2 linked regions of the Tribolium castaneum genome follow. The protein of the gene in region 1 interacts with the protein of each later gene in a pairwise test. Links are inferred from orthologs where the notes say so. Each region holds a gene or a part of one and is shown in the gene's direction. Other genes may lie near its edges.

Evidence for each region.
Region 2: the proteins of Ten-m (region 1) and cher interact in binary tests that used the Drosophila melanogaster proteins (3 or more experiments, as listed by UniProt). The link is inferred for Tribolium castaneum from reciprocal best matches to the Drosophila melanogaster genes Ten-m and cher.

What each region holds. Positions count from the first base shown.
Region 1 is NC_087402.1:5,291,743-5,295,500, forward strand, and holds the start of Ten-m (teneurin-m), read left to right. Parts: upstream 1-965; 5' UTR 966-1,266; intron 1,267-3,758. UniProt on the Drosophila melanogaster protein: Involved in neural development, regulating the establishment of proper connectivity within the nervous system. Acts as a homophilic and heterophilic synaptic cell adhesion molecule that drives synapse assembly.
Region 2 is NC_087403.1:5,250,172-5,253,906, reverse strand, and holds the start of cher (filamin-A), read left to right. Parts: upstream 1-779; 5' UTR 780-930; intron 931-2,359; 5' UTR 2,360-2,385; coding exon 2,386-2,785; intron 2,786-3,735. UniProt on the Drosophila melanogaster protein: Involved in the germline ring canal formation. May tether actin microfilament within the ovarian ring canal to the cell membrane. Contributes to actin microfilaments organization.

The sequences.
Region 1 (3,758 bases):
CATTTGCTAATGCTAAATAACAGTCACAAATATACGTACAGAATGAACATTATTTTAAAATAACTATGTCTAGCACTTTATTGGCAATCTTTTAAGTACATATAGTATCTGAAGCAACTTTTTGCGTTCGTTTAATTGTTGCTTTTTGGTTTAAATTTTGTGCAAAAAATGAAATAAATGCAGTACTAACGTACAGTTTTTCTTCTTGTTTGCAGCAAAAACTTTAGTTCAAAAAGCTTCTCCGGTTCTTTAGAAATTATCCGGTAAAAAAGATTTTAATGATGCGTTTGGTGAAACAAGTGCTTTTTTATTTTTTGAAAATCTGTTTCCTTTATATTAAATGTGCAAATGATGATGGGCTGGTTGAAGGTTTCGAAGGGATGTTGGAGTGACGGTTATAAGTTTTAATATTGTCAGTGAAGTTTCGTGTCGGTTTTTCTCTCTCACCTCAACAATTCTTGGCTTGTGCCTGGGAAGCGGTTTTGGTCGAACTCGGCTCAAGTCAGTAATTAATGAAGTTCGAAAATATGAGTCCGCATTCCGCAGACCAATTAATTCGTATATAACTGGAGGAAGGATTCGAGGAGTTGTTCGGAAGTTGGGTTGTTTTTATTTAAGTTGGTTCTATAATTTCATATTTCAGGCAGCCGACTTGCATGTAGCTCTTCCAGGGATGAGGTTTTAATTTGCATACAAACTCCAAAAGTTTAAAGTTATCTTTTAGCATCAGGAAAGCTCCAACATCTGTGAATCAAGCCCGGTTCGTTTACCTGCTGTGTACTTTTTAATTATTTAAATGAATGTTTTATTCTTTTGCATTATACATGTCGCAGATGGATGGATCCTGCGTCGGATAGCGACTTTCGACGCCGTTATCCTGCCTAGTGTCGACGTCCACCGCCAGGGGCGACGCTCCAGGCGCAGGACTAGAAGACCGCGCATCGACCCGGTGGGCCTGCTCCGATCCGCTCGTTCGTCGTTTGACAGTACGTTACGAGCTGTCTTGGAAAGTGGTTTCGTCGCCAAACATCCACTCCCACATAAACAAAGCATTGCCTCAGCGGTCGCGCTTTATCAACAAATCGCGCTCCGGCGCGACCACAACGCGGTGTGTTTCAGTTTCGTTTTTCCGGTTTTCTGTGACTTGGTGACTGTGTCTTTTTCGTTTTTCCTGGTTTGGTGGCTTTTCCGATGGAACCCCAGTCGGCGAGGGAGCGACACTGAGTGTCGTGCCTTCAGCGGCTAAAAAATTTACCACCGTGGCTGGTGAGTTTCCACATTCAGAATCACGTGCCGATGTATTCCGTTTAATTACATCGCGTGCGAACCGTTCAAAAACTCATCTCAATTATCAGCGCGCTGTTCGCTGTTTCAATTTCCTCGAATATCACGCCGAAGTCGGCAGTTTCCTCCTGTTTATAAATTTGGACGAATGCGGTTAGGAAACCGGGACGATTAACGCAAATTACACAAACGTAAACTTGCAGGAGTCGGTCCTGTGTCAACACAACTTCCTGTCCGTTTTAACTTTTCGACTTCCTTCCGGCTATTCGTGAATACTTTTCGCCCATAATCCTATTTTTCCAGGTCGGGCTTTTAAACTCTGCCACTAACGCGGGGGTGGCTTTTACTTCGCTTTGGACGAAATCGATTTCCAGTTCATATCAGACAGGAACGATTGGCTTCGTGCCAAAACTCACTGACAGCACACCAAAATTTACTCCTTTCATAAAATGAGGCTTGTGTGTGTGTTTAATTTATTTTCCAGCTTCGTAATTGCAATTGTGTGAATAATTGGGCCCTATTGTTAGATTGAGATTGATTCGGGACTAGCTTCAAGGAGTTTTTTCCGGTGCGACCCTCGACAACCCTTCCATTATAGAAAAAATTTCATTAACGCGACGCTCGTAATTAATTATCAATAAAGACACCTCCGCATCCATCACCGAGCTTTTTTCTTTATCGAGGCAATTTTTCAAATTATATTCACTTGTATTCGGGATTTTACAGACACAAATTGCTTGTCAAGTCGTCTGTCTTTAAACTCACACTTTGCCGATGATTCCTAACGTTCTCAAATATTTATCAACTTTCAGGGTGCATAGCTGAAAGCCGACTCATTTTCCTCCAGACTTTGCTGTAATAAACTTTTCATTCACCACTACTTCAATAACTTTGAATCCTCCCCTTAAGCGCGGTTTAAAAATTATTATAGAAACTTCCTGACATAATTGCTTTAGTAAACAACCAAACTAATGCGACTTAATTACTCGATAAAACTAGTTAAGCTACTTAGTAAACGAAAGACTGTTTCGAGCTATTTCGCTCCTGTTCAAATATTCCAATAATCGAATAATTGTCTCCCTCCGTAATAATTGTCGGAAGTAAACGAACCTTTGCTACACTGACCGTTAATTATCGACAAAAGTAATTGCATGTCAGCGTTGGCAATATGTAATTATGATCAGGTATGCCACTGATTATTAGAACAAAGCAGCCGCCATAAAGCATTCTCATGTCTATTAAATTATAATATGCACAGGGCGCTCTTTTTAAACTCCTTTCCCACAAAATATCTACTTGAAACCTGTCATTAGTCTTCTTCGAAATTTTAACAGCTGAAATAATCATCCTCACTGAAAGATTTAACGCTGCTACAAATTCCTGTGTACTTTGTAGATAATTGATTGATGATTGTCGTGAAAAGCGCGCTATAAATAAATGAGCTTTTCAATTTGTGTTCGACTACAACAGTTGCGAATTCTCATTCACTTCGATAAGTAGTAATTTTACATAATTGGCCGATTATTAATAACATAGTGTTGTCCTTAAAATGCCCTGTTAGAAGTGGAGTAGCGTCTGCACAAATACTGGTTAATGTCCGCTGCAATGCGCCAATTTCCGATATAGAATCACAATTTAGTAGCTGTTTGGCGCAGGATCTAGTCATTAGATCTCTTAGGCTGGTCGGGAGCTTGCCAGGAGTACTAGTGACATATATTCAATTACTGGATCCTTGGCAGAGTCCCTTATAAATGAGACCATTTGTAAAGTCATTTCGACTGAGCAAAAGCTCAAATCCGACTTGGAAGTTTTCTATGAAAGCTCTATTAAGTGTAATTCCGGTGGCGGATTTTTTAGTCTGTAAGCTATTAAAACGGAAAAAATTCTTTCTAATAAGAGCACGAATTGGGTCATTTCTTTACATGCGAACTCGGAAAGCACGCACGCCTTGAGGATTTATTATGATAAGGCGCTGTGCACAATTTTTAACGAGAAATATTTGTGGTAATTTGTTTCGTTATTTTCACACCACGGGTCAGAGGGGAGCTCAAAATAAATATTATCAGTAACAGGAACAAGCAACAAAACGTTTTTAATTACGCCACTGAATGCTTAGCTTATCACGTACAAACGTTTAACAAATCTGATAAAAACGCGCACTTTTACTTAATTGAGAAGCAGAGCAACGAATATCTAAACAATTCGGAGAATCGCGTAATTACACCGCATAAACTCTTGCAATTATTTCGTCGGAGGTAACTTCAAAAGGATGAACGTGCCAAGTGAATTCGCCAGAGTGTGATTTGGAAGTGCAGAGAATGCATAGCTGAAATTCTGCTCTTTCGCAATCAGTTTGATTCAGATTGATTTTTGCTGAACGGAAGTGTAATTTCCAAAAATAGAGGATATCCTGCGAGGAGCGACGGATGTCTTATTTGACTTGGCAGAAGAACTGAAGATTTTTCCGCGAGGTT
Region 2 (3,735 bases), on another chromosome or scaffold:
AAATCTAGAGACTAATTAGGAATGAGATAATTTGCATTTGTATTATTTATTTAGTATTAGGGCTAGACTATGCGTCATTTTAATAATAAACTTCTTGGGTGCTGTTTTTAATAAAAAAATCACACTTTTGAAAGTAAGTTTATTTCATCTTCAATTATTCCGCCTTTCGAGATGTTTGCGAATCGCGACCTGGTTTTACGGCGATAAGGGAAGCGAATAAAAATGTTTTTTATGGAAATGGGATAGTGCGCTAATTATCAATAAAACTTGATCCAATAATGGTGTGATAAAGTTGTTTGTGAAGACTTGGACAAGCGAAAAAAACAACATATGTTTGCTGTAATTGTGAGATTCAAGATAGAATGTAAATTCTCGCGTAATACTTCCATATAAGGCTCTGAAGCTTAGTTTTCAGGTCACATTACTCACAATTTAGTCAAATATAGTTTAATTGCATGCGTAACTGTTGATCTCGAAAATGAAAATGCGAGAAGGATTTGGGGGATAAAATTAAAGGCAGTAAAAAGACGGGGGCACAAAAAGAGCCAAAGATTCTTGTTGTTTTTATGGAGATATGTCTGAAGACAGTGAAGAATTTTAAGTGCGTTTATCGGCGCTCGAGCAATCGCGTGGGCCATTTGCGACTCCGGGGTTATTTTGATAGAATATCTAAGGTAAAAAAGGTCGGAGACTCGTATAAATTTAACAAAAATCGACATGTGACACAAAATATGGAGCTGAATACTGAAAAAAGTGGGGTTAAGTTTGAAGACAATCTATAAACAACCAAACTCATGGACGGAGTTCTATTCTTGGTTTCACACATATCTTTAGTTCGAGTCGTGTTCAGTCTTTCTACTACATCGAAAGTGTTATAAAAGTGCAATGATTTTACGGAGGATTCTCTAGATAATATCGTTAATAAATTAAGTGAGTACAATTAAATTCGCACCCCCTGGTGCATTTCAATTAATTGCGAGCACTTAATTGATCGTCTTTCATTCGCGCAAATCGCTTAATATAGACTACTCGGTACTCTCCAAAATTTTAACACCCAAAAACATTTTTCTAAAAAATCTATTTTCAAAGTTACGTATTTTGAAACTATTTATAATTCCCGAACGTTTACATGCAATATTAGCGTTACTTCATAATGCTTAAACATATTTATTTGTTCATTATTAACTGCAATAAACACCGCGAACATAAAATTATTTAACTGACGCGCTTTTTTATCGTAAAACCGTAAAAAAATCTGGCTTAATTAAAAAAAATTGGAAAGCAAGTAGAGTGTATTATAATTGAAATTTGTTGAGATTTAGTGCGACTACATTCTTAAGTCAGATAAAAAACCAAAAACACCGCAACCACATCCGTCAGAACGACTTCCAAAGAACAACTTCAAAATTTCGCTTTTTCAGTAATCTTGAAACGCAAAACTAGGCAACCAAATATACATATATTTTTTTAATTTAACTAAACCAATTAGATGTGAATTACTCGAGTCGCCCTTGATAATTTGTTTATTTATATATAAAGAAAAATAATTGGATGGCATTCAAATACAGGACAAGTTCGATATAAATAGACTAGAGATGTGTTTTCCTCATTAAATGAAATCTCTTTTAACATCGTAAAAGGGCAAAAGAGATTTTCGACTTTCCGCTTTTTTCTTTGATGGAATGTCACTGAGAAAGTTGGTATTTTTACCATTGCAGAGAATGACAAAACGTGATTCAAATATTCGAGAATGAGTGCGATTACTTACCTGCATCTGCCTACACATGGGTAAACCCAGTGGCGAATCTGGCTCATGATTTTTCCCCACAGAAAATCTCATCACAGTCGCCCTCTGATAATAAAAGGTTTTTGTTAATTTTCCCTATTGATCAGTTCTTTATTTTTTTGTCTAAGAACTGCAGCGGTCATTAGAAAATTTTTCTAAAGTTTGAACGACTTTTTTTAACTATTTTAGTAGCATCGTATCCAATGGGTCTAAAAAACTTATTTGAAATGTTTTTGTGACATAAAGTTAATCGAAAGTTTGTACAGAAATTTTTGCCATTGGTAAAAATTTGTCCCTAGTTAAATTTGGCCGAATTGTACTAATTATTGTCCAGTTAAGTATTTTTTTTAGTATAAGTTTCGTTTAGTTTGATTTATTTTTAAAAGCTGGGGTGTTTGAGGATATTTTTATTTAATATAGACTAAAAGATTAAATAACTTATAAGTATAGGTAGTTTTTTTTGTTTATTTTCCGTTTGATAAAGGTTTTATCATTTTATTAAAAAAAAAGAAAGTGAAAAGGGCCGTGGATGCGAAGAGTCGGTAGTATTGCTTGTTGTATATGGTGTTACAGAGGGGTCATAGGTGAATTTGATCAGCATGGCTCAACAACAGTGTCCCTACCAAAGCAACTTCCAGCAGCAGCAACCGGTCGAGGCTTGTATGCAGCGCGATGTGGACTATTGTGAGTTTAATGACGAGGACGAAATGGTGACGACCGAGCGCGAGTTGGCGGAAGACGCACAGTGGAAAAAAATCCAACAAAACACCTTCACGAGATGGGCCAACGAGCACCTGAAGACCGTGCAAAAGCACATCGGAAACCTGGAGACTGACCTCAGTGACGGATTAAGACTCATCACCCTAATCGAAGTCCTCGCAGGAAAACGTCTCCCTAAGCACAACAAGAAGCCCTCGTTCCGGTCCCAGAAACTAGAAAACGTCTCGGTGGCCCTCAAGTTCCTCCAAGACGACGAGGGAATTAGAATTGTTAATATCGGTGAGTGGACACCGGCCCTGCTCTACTCTCTGCTTCTTTCTCGAATTCCTGCGACCCTCCGGCAGCAGACCACATACCATGCTTCTTGTTGCTTTTTTCCGGCACGAACGCTGAAAAACCTAAAAACGCAGCCGGAACCGACAAAACACGCAAATTCCCTACGCGCCAAAACAATTTTTTCTGTTTATTCTTATTATTTGCTCAAAGTTTCCTTTTATCGCGTATTTACAGTGTGATGTGCTAAAAATAAAGTTTAACATCATTCCCACCAAATCCCGCGAAAAATATTCTCAAACGTGGAAATATGGTAATTGATTATTCATTTTCACTGTGTTTGTGCTGACCCGATCAAATGCATTCGTGTCATTATTATTGCTTTTGCTATCATATTTATAAATAAACGGATCGGTTATTGTAGTCTCCAAACATTTTTCTAGCATTCTAAATAATAACGGACGTTCAAGGCTAAAAAGCCGACAATTTCTAAACCCGTTTTCGACCACTAATCCTATCAGGCCTTTCTTTTCTCTTTTTTAACAATATATCATACTGTTCATCCAGTCGGCTTGATCTGTAATAACATGAGAAATAAAATTAAATTGGAGATCAGGAGGTCAAACGCAGTCATTTTCAAATGCCTTTAGAAAAATACACAGATAGAGTAATGATAATTGTCATTATGATACGATGTTTTCAATTACTTGAGGTCGCGTTCTCGATTCTTCTCAAATTACTTAAGTCCGATGCATACCAAGCATCATATTTTCCGTCTAGACTGTTATTTGCTTCAAATCGACCGTATTTCTTGCATTTTTACGCGTTTTGAAACCGCAGTTCTTGAACGCTACCATTCTGCGAGAATACAGGTGCCCCCTATTATGTAATGTAAAAAATCTTTCAGTGACGTCATTTTTAATTACACTTGTTGAAAAATGCAGTCATTTCGATCA